3 linked regions of the Arabidopsis thaliana genome follow. The protein of the gene in region 3 interacts with the protein of the main gene of each other region in a pairwise test. Each region holds a gene or a part of one and is shown on either strand. Other genes may lie near its edges.

The links. The genes of interacting proteins can lie anywhere in the genome.
Region 1: the proteins of AT4G01090 (region 3) and AT5G58300 interact in a two-hybrid assay, tested with the Arabidopsis thaliana proteins (one large-scale study listed by BioGRID).
Region 2: the proteins of AT4G01090 (region 3) and AT5G22890 interact in a two-hybrid assay, tested with the Arabidopsis thaliana proteins (one large-scale study listed by BioGRID).

The regions. Positions count from the first base shown.
Region 1 is NC_003076.8:23,570,056-23,575,584, reverse strand, and holds AT5G58300 (Leucine-rich repeat protein kinase family protein), read right to left. Parts: upstream 3,751-5,529; 5' UTR 3,516-3,750; intron 3,398-3,515; exon of another isoform or gene 3,158-3,397; intron 2,783-3,157; 5' UTR 2,765-2,782; coding exon 1,432-2,764; intron 1,346-1,431; coding exon 714-1,345; 3' UTR 501-713; downstream 1-500. Other genes in the region: MES18 (methyl esterase 18), read left to right, coding at 1-87, 177-458; RPT3 (regulatory particle triple-A ATPase 3), read right to left, coding at 4,469-4,603, 4,927-5,010, 5,136-5,288, 5,389-5,529.
Region 2 is NC_003076.8:7,652,757-7,656,502, forward strand, and holds AT5G22890 (C2H2 and C2HC zinc fingers superfamily protein), read right to left. Parts: upstream 2,080-3,746; 5' UTR 1,907-2,079; coding exon 785-1,906; 3' UTR 501-784; downstream 1-500. UniProt on the Arabidopsis thaliana protein: Probable transcription factor. Together with STOP1, plays a critical role in tolerance to major stress factors in acid soils such as proton H(+) and aluminum ion Al(3+). Required for the expression of genes in response to acidic stress (e.g.
Region 3 is NC_003075.7:469,955-475,549, reverse strand, and holds AT4G01090 (hypothetical protein (DUF3133)), read left to right. Parts: upstream 1-1,670; 5' UTR 1,671-2,149; intron 2,150-2,262; 5' UTR 2,263-2,301; coding exon 2,302-4,103; intron 4,104-4,190; coding exon 4,191-4,251; intron 4,252-4,344; coding exon 4,345-4,568; intron 4,569-4,658; coding exon 4,659-4,716; 3' UTR 4,717-5,044; downstream 5,045-5,595.

The DNA of each region.
Region 1 (5,529 bases), on a different chromosome or scaffold from region 3:
GGAAATGGACCACAAAATCTCCCAACAAGCATCATGATGAAACCTGAGTATGTTCGGGACAAGTTTTACAACGAGAGCCCCATGGAGGTGTGTCCTTTATTACCAACTCTGTTCTCATCTCTGCCTCAATTTTTTTTGTAGAGAATCATCATCATTCATTTATTCATTCTGATCAGGATTACACACTGGCAACCACACTTCTGCGTCCGGCCCCTGTCATGGCATTCATAGGCATAATGGATATTCCGGGAGCTCCAGAGACTGACAAAATCCCAAGAGTGTACGTGAAGACAGGCAAGGACCATTTGTTCGAACCAGTTCTTCAAGAGGTAATGTTGGCCCTGTGGCCTCCTGCTCACACCTTCCTTCTTCCGGACAGTGACCACTCTGCTTTTTTCTCCCAACCTCAAGAACTCTATCAATTCCTCCTTCAAGCAGCCTCATCTCTTTCTCCCTGATATTTATGTCTCTCTGGAACTCTTTTAAATCCATCTTTTGGATACTTACTTAGCTTGCATAAAACTGAATCATATTCATATATATTATGAGATACAGAAAAAGGAGCCTACAATAATAATTGCTATGTAAATGTTACCGCGCCTCCAACTGCGGTATTACTCAGGCGAGTGGTGTTCAAACAATCAACATAAAGCCTTATAAGACATACAAACTCAAAAACATAGATAAAAAGGGAATGAGATCCAAGGGGTGATTTAAACTTGGACGTTGGAGTCCTTGGGTTTGCTATTGTCATCTGAAGATGGCCGAGTGGTCTCAGAGTCTGAAACTCGTATCTCTTCAATCATTCTAACAACATCATCCATGGTGGGTCGTACCTCAGGCACTTGAGCTACACATGCCATAGCAATCTGCAGCATCTGTACCATTTCTTCTTCAATGTTCTGAAACCTCATCAGCTCAATATCAAACACCTCGCTTGTCCATTCCTCTCTCACCACTGACTGTACCCACCTCGGGAGATCAACCATGTCATCCCGGCTTGGTGATTGCACTGGAGACTTCCCAGTTAACATCTCTAGTATAAGTACACCGAAACTGTAAACATCGGATTTATGTGTGTGTTTCCTTGTTTCCATTACTTCTGGTGCGCGGTAGCCTGCACCTCTCATTGGAGCAATCGGCACAGCCATCAGAGGGGTCAGTCCAAAATCAGAAATGCACGCATCGCTCTCCTGCTTCATAATCACATTTGAGGACTTTATGTTTCCATGACTGAACTTTGGACCTCCAGCTGCATGGAGATGAGCTATACCTTTTGCCGCTGATAGTGTGATTTTTACTCTGGAGTCCCAGTCAAGAGGCGTTTTCTCACTTCCCCGGTTACCTGTCATGGCATCGAAATCAAGATATTCTTAAGTACACCAACGAGGTAAATATAAACCATTAAACGAAGGTAGGAAGAAAACTAACCGTGGAGTAGTGATGATAAGTTACCAGCAGGGTAATAATCACAAACCATGAGCTTCTCATCCTTGGAGTAGTAATATGCACGGAGGGGAACCACACTAGGATGGTTCCCGACCCGGCTGATAATCTCCATCTGCTGTTCAAACTCCCTCTTTCCAGCTGCGACTTCTTTCAACCTTTTTACCACAACAGTTGTGGATTCCTCTAACACAGCCTTGTATGCTGTCCCATAGCTACCTTTTCCTAGTACTTCTGCTGATGCCCTCAACAAATCCTCTAGATCAAAGTTATAGGAGCATCCATTAAAGAATACCAGCTTATTCTTCTCAGGTTCTTGCACCCCACTTCCAAATTCTTGCTTTGCTTTCTCAGTCAAAGTCTTTACTTTTACGATGCTGTCTTCCCTCTTGTCCTTTTTCTTGATACAGCAGCATAATATAATTACGGTGATCAACAACAGCAGAGCAGCCCCTCCAGCTGCAATAGGAATGATAGTGCTTACATGTAGTTTCCTTTTTGAACCTTCTTTGTGAGGAAATGGCGGCAATGGAGGCGTGGAAATGTGTGGGGTTAGCGAAGGAGGGGGAGAGGAGGTGGCACAGGGTTGCAGAGGAAGTCCACATAACAATGTGTTTCCGGAAAAAGATGAACTGGGAAAGCCACCAAGTGCAGAGGGTATTGAACCATTAAGATGATTGTTGCTCAAGTTTAAACGTCTCAGACTTACTGTATCAAGATTAGGTACTGGTCCAGAAAGTTTGTTATTTTGGAGGCTCAACCCTGTCAATTGCTTCAGATTTTGGAACGTTGCTGGTATCTTCCCGGTGAAAGAGTTAAATGAGAGATCTAAGATATTGAGCTGTCGGGACACAAAGGAAGGAACCTCACCAGAGAAGTTGTTATGTTGGAGATAGATGTAATCTAGTGAAGGGAGAGAGTGAATGTCAGGAGGAAGGTTACCACTGAGGAGGTTTGATCTCAAACTGAGAATCCTGAGTGATTCTAGTTTACCAAGTGTGTTTGGAGGGATTGGTCCCAAGAGCCCAATTCCTGGAAGGCGAAGAGCGTGAACACTAGTACCATCAGAAGTGCAGGTGACGCCAACCCATGATTTGCAGATATGGTTAGTGGAATTCCAGTTGAGTCGTCTGAGATGAGGAACAGAAGCAGCAAATGCAAGAAGAGCTTGCCTATCCGAGTTCAGGTCGGCAATAGCATAAGAGCAGAAAGTAGTTGTGACAAACAAGAAAGAGACAAGACAAGTAGACAAGAACCCCTTTGACGGTCTCAAGGTAAATACTGGACCAACATAAAACTGGAAATGGAACTGCATCATCAGCTTGACTTCTTGACCCTGCTCCAAAAGAAAAGCAGAAGATGATAAGCAATGACTTCCACTACACAAGCCAGTATGCAGCAGCAAGGAAAGCTAAGCTAATCAGGTATCTCTAAGGAACTGGCCAAGCAAGCTTCATTTATTGGATCACAACATTGAAAGTTGATAACTAATATTCGGTTGTGAAAGAAAAAAGCATATCAGTTATATAAAAAACTACAGATGGGAAGAAAAAACAAATAAAGATACTAGTTAGATCTTCAAGAAAAAGTATGCCATTGCCTATCTTTATCTTTATCATTGGGAGATTAAACAATCCAAGAGGCTAAGATAAGAGATTGAAGCATCCAGCACAAAAAAAAAAGCAAAAGGAATAAAGCTAAAGAGCCAAACTTTAACACAAAACTTTGATGAGCAAAGAAAAGCAGACTCCTTTTGCCAAAAGATATTGTCACTAGAGAAAGAAGCAGAGGTCTGTCCATCATGTGGACAATGTCACTAAGTAAATAAAGATGAGTTTTGAGTGTCTGATTTTTATCGGAGTTGTTGAACAAACAACGTGTAGCCAGCGAATTGGAACTAATATACCACGTCACTAGCCTGTATCTAAAGTCTTGAAAGTTTCCTACCCACCTAGCCGGAGAAAATGGCGATTTTTAAGTATAATTCCCAACAATGAGAGACAGACAATTACAGAAAGTTAAAAGGAAAAATACAAAAACCAAAAAGAAGAAGAAGAGAGAAAGAGAACCTGGGAGTAGAGAGGTAAGCTAGCGAAGTAAGAAAATTGTGGGCACTGAAGAACTCAGCAATAGAGGAAGAAGAACTTATGCAGATGGAGCGCTCAGACCTCTGCACTCTACTGCATTGAGCGGACTATAACACAATCTTGAAATGGTGAAAGAGAAGAAAGAAGAAAAGGCAATGTATGTGGGGACTAGTGGAGAAGAAGAAGAAGAAGAAGAAGAAGAAGAAGAAGAAGAAGAAGAAAGAGAGAGAGAGTGTGGTGAAGTTAAACAAAAGAGGCGTATTCGTTAAGGGTAAGACAGTCTTCAAAAGGAGTCTTTAGATCAAATCATATTGGTGTGTAAACACCGCAACAAACGCTAATGTAGAGAGACCCAGAGACTGACCAAGCTTAAGATTCTTATGAGATAGCAAAATGACAAATACATGAAAACAAAAACCATCTTGATCCAAGTTGTTATTTTTAAAGTAATCATTTAGATATGGTAATAGTTCTTACCTGTCCAACCACTCTTGCTACTGTTTTCTCTTGATTTGCATCATTCTTGATTTGCGGATACTATGTAATAGTAATACTGGTCATTTCATCATCTATCACCAACTCCAAAACAAGATCCAACACATTTAGGCATTATTGAAGTCTGAAGTTTTCTATGAACATTGAGCAGTGCAGCGTGCTCCTAATATCATCACTATTTTTGTTGTCTTTTTAATCAGAGGAGACATAATTATTACCATGCTCTGGCAATTCTAAGGACACCATCCCCAGTTTTTCTTATACATTAAACTGTAAAAAGCTGATAGACTAAAAACAAATGTGAACTCGAGTTACAGAAATTAGGAGATGCAACTTAGTTCTTAATTTAACTGCAAATTTGATTCCATGTCCTTAATAATTCTCAAAACACACTGGAATTTTAACAACAGCCATAATCTGGTTCCACTTCTGCTTTCTCTTCACTTGTAAAACTCAAAGTCCGTGTCTGGCTTCTTAACATTTGCGCGGTAGCCCTTCTCGAAATCCTTAGGTAGTATCACATATCTGTTCTTTCGCACCGCATGCATACCAGCTTCCTGGCAAATTGCTGCTATCTGCATTGTTCAACATAAAATCAAAATAGTGTCATTAATAACTATCATCATTACATGCAATCTTTTTAGGAACAATTCCCATGTACATGATAAAATCAAACCATATTACTGCCAACAATTGATTTCTCAACAATTCAGTTCAGGACAATGATTAACAAACGACTCAGCTAACATTCATACATAATGCTTGAAACAGTATGATTATGCTCAAGTGCATATTTTGAAGAACATCATTAGGTGGTGACCCAGAAACACTGGAGGATATATCATGGTAAAAGTAAACTATAGCGGGAAGAATAGAATGGTAAGCAAAATAAACTAACCTCAGCAGCGCTAATTTTATCAGGCCGTGAAACATAGTCTTCCAAGTCAACCTCATCGCTAAGGTTCATTTTGGAGGTGCATACCTACACAAGGAAAAACCAATCAATAAGACAGAAACTAAGATATCAGTCAAAACTTTCTTTTGAGAAAACATTTGGTTTCATATCTCTTTAACTAGTTATTTAAGTGCTTGTAGTAATTAACTTACCTGGAAAACAAGCCTCTTTTGACGTCTATCAGGAAGGGGGAACTCAATCTTACGATCAAGTCTTCCAGGACGTAAGAGAGCAGGATCTAGAGTGTCTGCCCTGTTTGTTGCCATTATGACCTTGACATTCACGGTCTGGTCAAATCCATCCATCTACATCGAATTCAACACAATAAGTTAAGGACACAACTAAAATCCATTATTCTACAACATAAGATCTGAATTACAACTAAAATTCATTATTTGTTCTCACCTGATTAAGAAGCTCCATGAGAATACGCTGAACTTCCCTATCGGCTCCTGTTTGAGCATCAAACCTAGCAGTAGCGATGGCATCTACCTCATCAATGAAGATGATAGCTGGAGCATTTTCCTTGGCAAGACGGAAGACATC
Region 2 (3,746 bases), on a different chromosome or scaffold from region 3:
GTTCAGATCTATTTTACTTTAATGCGCGAGTGATTTTAAATTTCTTTTTCGAAATATTGAAAAATTCGAATTTTCTGTTGCGCTTTTTGTTATCCGCCATAAGTTCATGAAGCGGCAAAGAGAGAAAAAGTTTTTGGCGTGGATAGCTGACGTGGTTACTTTTGATCCGTCTACCAATGAACGGCTATGATTTTACCGTATCTACAAAGTTGGTAACAACTTTTTCCTATCTAACATTTTTATGGAAATGAAGAACTAATGCATAATTATAAGTTTTCAACTCTTTCAAAATTCTTCAAAAATAACCAACTTTTTATAGATACAAATTTTGAATTTCTCTAAAATACAAACATTTAGTTCAGCTTAATAAGTTGGACTCATCTTAATAAGTTAATATGTAGTTGTATTTTAACAGAGTTAACGATGTTTCTTATATTTTCTTAAAATTCTGCATGATATATCAATAGATAGTTGTTGATTAATCTGAGAAGTGAGAGACGTATTAAACATAAATTTTGATTCTCACTGATTCCACATATTTCTGAGATTAGTGAAAATCTATGCATGATACCCATCAGAACCAAAATCATTTGTAACATTAACGTTAATGCACAAGTCACTATGATACAAATCTGTATATTATCTTATCTTTGTGACATTAATTTAGAGAATATAGAAACTCGTGAAAAGAAAAAGAACAAAAAAAAGAGAGGGAGTGAATGCACGTGTCATTTCTTGAGATATCGTCTATGAAATCTCTATAGACCTCAAACTTCCTATGTTCTTACTTTAGGGTGATTGTCGGCGGCTTGGACGACCCATGTGCCGGTACGTGGCCCAAAAACAAAGAAACGTGGCTCATCAGCTTGTCTTTCCTAGAAAATTTAGTCCCACAAGAGCAAACCCACTTTATATCCCCACAATGCTTCTCGTGTGTCCTAAGATCAGACAGAACCGAGAAATGCTTCACACTACATCTCCTGCACATATACATTTTGGGACAATGACTCCTCTTGTAATGATTCTTGGCGCAAATCACAGATTTCAACGGTTGAAACTTCTCGTGCCTCTGGTTCCATCTACACCCGTGTTGAGGACAGGAGTAGTAATGTTTCTTTAACGAGTATCCTCCTTTCTTGTCTTGGCTCGTTGGGCTGATCAAGGCCTCACGTGTCTTGTACTCATCCCCGTGCGCTCTCATGTGCATCCTTAGATTAGCGTCTCTCTTAAACCCTTTCCCACAAATCTGGCAGTAATGCGTGTATTTCGCTAGTAGGTCCGCTACGTCTAGCTCCAGTATATCGTAGCTCCCGGAACTTGGTTTAGAACGATGTTTATCTTTTTTAGGGTTTATGGTTTCGGTGTTGTACCAATCAAGATTCTGGTCGGGAAACGAGATCTGCCCTCTTTCTTGGACACCAAAAAGGTTGGTCGACTCTTGCACAAAATCATGACCCGGGTCGGTTTCTTGTCGGGAAAACTCCAAAACCATTGCATCTACGGTTTGATCATTATCGATATCGTTGTTGTTGTTGTTAGATCCGATTTGGAGTTGTTGGCAAGTATATAACATGGATGAAGCAGCCGTGATGATCTCTTGAACCAAACTTCCGATGTTAGCCACGGCCAAAGACGTTGACCCCGAGGATTGGTTAATGTTATTAGTAGATACCATGTAGAAGCTGACCAGAGATTGGATCTGATGGACTTTTTCATGTAAGGTAGATAGATTGTATAGAAGAGAGAGTGAAACGTCGTCGTCTTCCATTGATTTCGTCCCGGTCGTGGTCACGGGATTAACATAGATTTGTTTTGAGGAAGTACTGGTCTCCCCGGAGAAGCTAGAGATTGATCCTTCAACTTTCTTTGCAATATGCTCATCTCGATTCATCATATGTATATGCATGTATATGAAGAATCTAGCTTGAGTTTTGTTCTTATATTTTCTTTGGATTTTGTTGAATCTTTAAATTCTTTGTGGTATATTTGTTTCATATATATGCCAGACGGTCCAGACTCTAGAGAGATGCAATGAAGAAGACACCCTACCCTCTACCGTATAAAATACTCGCGAGTTGTGACATACATTCACACAAAATAACACACACAAACAAATACATGTCACACATATAGTAATTTATTTTTTCGTTTCACTTTATCAAACATCTTAAAATCGGAAAGATTATACTAAATTGAGTAAAATTTGAAAACTAAGCTATTGAACCTAACTATATTTTGAACCTTGCAGTTTATTAGTGATTTAAAATCCAAAAGATATTTTGATCCAAACAAAATATTGTAATTAAAAAAAAAAACATTCTAATTGATATATTATGTCAAGTAATGTTTTTTTTTCTTAATTTAGAAGTTAGAATTTAAGAATTTTATGTTTTCTAGAGACGGGACACACGTTAGGTTACATTCATCTGTTTTAGAAAGAAAAAAAAAATTAGCGGGGGTTGATGAACCCTTAATCAACCATTGGGCCAAAGGACTTCCACAACTATATTTGTTTATGTTTATGTTTGATTTTATTTAAAATCAGATATTTAATTAAAGATTTACAAAGATGTTTTAAATTAAAAAGACATCTAGACGTTTATAAATATACGATACATAGAAGTTGTAAATAATGTCTTTTTGTCAATAATGACAATAATATGCAATATACAGATTTTGATGAACCCGGATGCTGGCAAGAGAAAACGCTAGAAAAGTTCAATAGACTAAGTTTTTGTCGTCATGAATGATGTTTTTTCTTCTCTCTAAATGCATTTGTCATGTATATGAATTATTTACATTAGGTTGAAAATGGAATAATAGAAGTATGTGATGTGGTTAGGATTAACTTGGAAGTCAACTCGAGATAGCAAAAGCGACCATCCCCACATAAATCCTCCCCCGGATGAAACCTTAACTAGACTTTGTCAGCTACATCTTATGAGTTAAATAAACGAAGAAGGTCAATCCCGATGTAATTAAAGAATGATTAACCTAAGTCAAGTGTTAGTGTTCTTTCATGGCCTTTTCTTGTATTGTTCTATATACAATACGTTCTGTAACTGTCAAGCTCACATCTATATAATATCTTATGTCAAATCCAATCCTTTAAAAAAAAAGTTGCGACTACATTCAGTTCTCTTATCTGCTTACATGCACACATATTTTTTTTTCTTTTCATGCACACATATTTGTACACGCGTGCATATACGATTATATGATTGGATCTTACATGAAATGTTTATAATGTGGCCATCGGCATGAGTTGCAATTATATTAAATAAATATTGCTTATGCGTGCTCATTTTTTAATTTCGGAAGAAGTAGTTTTGTTGGTGACTAATCAAAATTTCTATGCAGTGATGATGATATGGGTGATCAATGCTGTTTCTTGGGGTTAGCTTTGGTGAGTTACGTTACTTTTTGTCCTTTAGAAGAAAAAAATGCCACGTTAGTTAACGCTTTTTAAAAAAAAGAAGTTGCTGCTACCATTACAGTGACAGTGTATTCCACATGCGATTCTAGTAGAGTTTTTTAGTTCTTTTTGCTGGGAACCAACCTGCAAACCACATTTGTAAATAAGACGTTATTAAACCAGACTTCACTAATATAGGCCAGTCGAACTGGCTCACCACAACATGGGAATGTAGGATGACATGAATCTCTGAATTACAAATGTCATGTATATAATTACCCTCAGTTTTAAAATGCTACACCAAACAAATTCAACTCAACTACTTTAATTT
Region 3 (5,595 bases):
TAAAAAAGTCAACGATAGTTATCCCAAAAATGCAATGTTAATATTTTTGTCAAATCTGATTGGTGTTGGAAAGTGGACTATCTATAAATCCATCTTTAAATGATAGACAGAGACACAGAGTAGAAGACTTTACAGCTGTACGTAGCTTTTTGTATAAACCACAAAAATAGTCAGAAGGCGACCTACACTATGTGATCATATAACACTCCCCATATATCTTTCAAGTCTTCGTTTACGAGGTTAATATTTTTCAACGTTTAGGATCCAGGTTTCTTTTAGATTCAAGTTGTGAATTAGAAAACAAACAAAAGAAGAAGTTTTGAGAGCACGTCTTCTAACATGGAAGCATTAAACTTGACGTATTTTTATGGACTATATTAATCGATATGCTGGGAGGATGATGAAAAAATAAAGAATTTATATATAAATATTAGTTATTTAGGTAAGTATGAAAGATAAATAATATATAAACCAAAAAATTTTTTTTAAAAAAATTAATTACAAAAATGCTATTGAATAAAAATAATTGTAATATTCGGATGATAAGTATATAATTATTTGTTTAATGTTTTAAAAACTATGATATCGCGATAAGTTTATAAATTATTTGTTAAAACATATTTATCGATTTAAAATTGTAAATCAGAATTTTTTATTTATGTATATTCAGCACAATAAAAGGAAATTAGACTTTTTTATATAATTAACATGATAATAATTATAACTACATGATATATAGAATGATAACATGCTAATATATTATATAACAGAATAATATTTATATGAAAACGTTAAGATATTCGATACATGAATAATGTTTACTGTAACGGATAATTTATACATAATATTTACTAATAATTGTTAACGAGGTTAACCTGATGATAACAATGAAAATATTTAGTAACAAAACAATATATGAGACTTTAATTAAAAAAAAGAAAAATACAGAAGAATAATAAAGTAACTTCATTAGTTCTTTTACTGTTGAAATAGTCCACAATTCCTACACCTAATTTTTCAGTCTTCTGAGCATATAAAGTGATATTTTCCTATTTTTATTTACTTTTTAATTGTATTATAATAATATTTGGGTATTTTTGGTTATTATAATAATATCTGAAAATATTATTGATATTTTTGGTTATTTTTATATTTTTACTAAAACAACCGAACCGATCCGAATCCGAACCAAAATCGAACCAAGTTTTTAGAATATCTGAATGGTTCTCAACCTCTTCATATCCGAATAGATTTGATATCCAAAAAAGAACCAAACAGATAGGGATACCCGAATGACCAGACCTAGTATTATTGATATAAAAAAGGTTGCTCAATGTATAATTTCATTTGACTAGCTGGTCTGTTTTCGTACAAACACACTCACAAAAGTACGAAAATAGGAAGTCGTCTTAGTTTTAGAAAATAACTATTGCTGCTTATTGGCATATATTGAAAAATCAAATACTACTAGTAATCGTAAGTTCTAAATTTGAATGTTTTTTTCCCGAGTAATTGAATTGTTCTTAGTAATTAAGTTCACAAATTTGGAAAATTGCGATATCTGAGAACGTATTAATTTACCTGTCGGTAAACAGTCACACTCATGTTTCTAGATTTCGTATATTTTAGTAATAATTTGGTTAGTCTCCTTATCTGCGAGTCAACGAGACCCGGTCCGCTCAACCGTACTACAGTCTAAATTCTAGTTTCACGCGCTTACTTACATTACATACGCGCTCATCTCTTCTTTACTCAAAAGTTTTAAAAAACGAATATCAAATCAACGCTAACAAAGTTTGATTTTTTGCTTCCATCTTCTTCCCCTCCTTAAGTTTTCAAATCTATTCATCAAATTTTCTTTTGTCTTTCCCTTAAGATTCCCGGGAAAGCCAAGGAAAAACGCTAGAAGAAAATTAACATAATAATGTTAATTGTTGCTTAAACCTTCCAGCTCAAGTTTGGTAGTAAGTAAGCAGACATTTAATCCCCCAAGAAGCAATTGAAGAAGACTTTTAATTCTTCTGAATTTTCTTTCCAAAAACCCCTTTTTAGAAAATTGGTTGCATCATAGAGATTGGTTCATTTATTCCCACCGGAGAAGATCATCAAATTCGTCTTCTCACCTATATCGCCGACGACATTCTTCACGGTTCGTTTGATTTCTACCTGTTGGTTCTTCGTTTTATCTGAATTCAATCGGAGATATATGTTTTTGAGTTCGAATTTGATAAAAAATCGAAACTTTTTTGATTTGAATCGCAGTTGGAAAAAAACAAAGCAAAACCCTAGAAATAGTGGCTGATGAGGTCGCGAGGCGATGTCTCTGAAGCAGAAGGTACGAGATCAGATGCTGGTTCTTCAAGAAGCGAAGAAGAAACGAGTCTGAAGGAGAAACACTCAAATTCGCGAGCTGGGTCTCAAAGATCTGGAAAAAGCTTGAGAAATGACGAGCCTAATTACGGATCAGATTCTTCATCTAAGAACACAAGCAGCAGCAACAACCCTATTGAGTATACAGAGCATGAACGAGCTGAGCTTTTAAGAAGGTTAGATTCTATCAAAGATCATCTACTTCGCGGTGGTGGTGGTGGTAATAATGTAGTTGATAAACCTAAAGAACCAGATCAGAATCAGCCTTTCCTTAGACCAGTTCATCTTCATGGTCATGCTAATCATAATCCTGGTCCTTCTTATTACCATCAGTATCCAGAACCTATTCAATACCCTGGACCGGTTCATGGAATGTATCCTCAAGCTTATCAAGATCCTTATGGGTACCAAAGAAGACCACCTCCAGTTCCTAATCCAAACTGGTATCCTCCTGGTCATTACCCTAATCAGATGGCTCGTCAGTATCCTGGAGGTCAATATGTTGAACTTGGTCCTGATATAGTTGAGCCACATTCTTACTATCCAGCTACTCCTGGTAGGTACGGTGACCTGCCTCCGTATAGCCCGGTTTCGTCTCACCATCGTGAAGAGAAACTCGCTACACAGTACAGTGATATGCCTCCGTATAGCCCGGTTTCGTCTCACCATCGTGGCGAGAAACTCACGACACCGTATAGTCCACGTGTTAATAACGGTTCGAGTTTTCCTTCTTCGATGGGCACTCCAGGTCCTCGAGGTGGTTATGCAAGGTGGCCGAGTGAACATGATTCTGAAATGGGCGGTGCTTTTGCTCGTGGGTATGTTAAGAAAGCTGTATCGGATACTGGTGTTCGACGTTGTCATCCTCTTGCTGGTGGTGCTCCTTTTATAGCTTGTCATAGTTGCTTTGAGCTGCTTTACTTGCCTAAGAAGAAGCTTTTGTCTCAGGAAAGGTTACATAAGCTGCAGTGCGGTGCTTGTTCTGAAGTTATTAGTTTCACAATCGTTGATAGGAAACTCGTTTTCTCTTCTGGTAATGAGGAAACAAAACCGGTCTCTCTAGAGGTTGAAGATAGAAACACAACAAACACAGTAGTGATAGAGGAGGAAGTCTCTTCTGTTGATTTCAACAGCTCAGGTAGAGATATTCCACGTAAGGATGAAGAAGAACCAGTGCAAGAACTGAGAAATCATCAGGATACTATTACTACGCAAAGCGTCCGCTCTGAATCTCAACACTCAGATGATGAAGAAAGATCGAGCAATTCTAGTGAACAACAACAGAAGGAGGTCAAATCTGTTCGTCGGCGAGGTAAAGGGTCAAAAGCACCTGAACCCGCTGCTCCTGATAATGCCAGTCTCCTTGAACTTTTTGAGTATTCTAATGTAAACAGAGCTGCACTCGCTTATGGAATGGCGCAGTTAGGTTATGAAAAGCCAGATAAGCAAAAGTCTTTCATGACACAGGACTCGCTGAAACCAGAATCAGTAGCTACAGAGACAGAGGTTTCTTACAATGGATACTCTAACACCGAGATCTCAGAAGATTCAAGGTACTCAAACAGAAAGGGTAGTGAGTACGGTTCGACAGAGATCACAACGAGGTCCTCTACTGATCAAAACGAAGACCAGATGAAGTCATTAGAGGTTTGGGTTAATGGACATCTTATACCAGAAGATCTTGTTAGCAGTGCTGAGAAATTAGCTGGACCAATCCAAGCTGGAAAGTATTGGTACTTCCATGAACTTCAGCATCCACTGTTTCTCTCTTGTTTTTGTTTTTCCCTTTACTCAGTTTCTGATACATGTCTCTGATTCAGGTATGATTACCGAGCTGGGTTCTGGGGAGTGATGGGCAAACCGTGTCTCGGTATAATACCTGTAAGTACCTTCACATTGTTCTCTCAAGTTGATTATTGGAATGGTGTCATCAAATTGATGAAGAAATGGTTGACTTACTTGTTGTTGTTGCAGCCATTTATTGAAGAGTTTAGCCATCCAATGCTGGATAACTGCGCTGCAGGAAACACAGACGTGTTTGTGAATGGAAGAGAGCTTCACAAGAGAGATTTCGAGTTACTTGTGGGTCGTGGTCTGCCTAGAGACAAGAACCGTTCTTACATTGTTGATATATCAGGAAGAATCCTTGATCAAGATTCAGGAGAAGAACTTCACAGCCTTGGCAAATTAGCCCCAACGTAAGCAGATTCACACAAATGATTTTTATTCTTTTGAGATTTTGAGATCACCTAAGATTCTAAAGTTTTAGTGTGTTAAACTTGAAACAGGATTGAGAAAGTGAAGCATGGATTTGGTATGAGAGTTCCAAGATCATTAGCTTCATGAAAACTCCCCCTAGTAACAACTACACAACCAAAATATGATTCTGCTTCTTGTTTCCATCTTCATATTATTTATTTGTTAAACACAACTGTAAAGTGTTTTTTACATCTTGATTTTGATTTTTGGTATTCTTTTTAAAATATCTTTGGGGAAATGTCTGTATGTTTTTTATTGCGACCAGAACCGGTTTAGGGGTTATAGACTGTATACAAACCGGGTTCTCTCGGTACAAGGTTTGTGCTTTGTATTATTTCCATTTTTTTATGGAATGATATTAGTTTGCTCTTAATGACTTTTTTTTTTATCTCTTTTATTGCTCTTTTGTAAGTTGTAACAGAAGCTTCATCGATAACATGGTTTACTCCTCCTAATTCCTTATTATCTCTGGTTTAACTAAATCGTTTATTTAAACCGGTTTTGGTTTGTAGGTTTCTTTCATGTCAGCAACAATATATGTAGGTCATTCGACCATACTCAACAATTCAATTAAACAATGTTCTCCTAGCTGATCTTTCTTTCTTCATGATTAGCTTCTAGGCTTGATTTGCCCTTTCCTCGAGTTCTAGGTGAATTATGGATTGGGATTATCTATCTATCGGTTAGTTATCCGGTTTCATCTTTCTTTCCACTAAAATGTTCATATTGTCTGCTAATTCCTCTCTTGGCTGATGGACTAGTTTTTGCACGTTTCTGAAGTGGGTCCTTCCTAAAATACAAGACAACAGATTATAACTTACTCATGGGCCCAATATCAATATCAATATCAAACAAGAAAGAGAATCTGTTCTTAACAGGCCTCGTGGTCCGTTCGTTTAGTTTTCATGTTTCAATATTTCTTAGAAAAATACAAAATTAGAGTAAGAACAAAAAGATACTAACTAG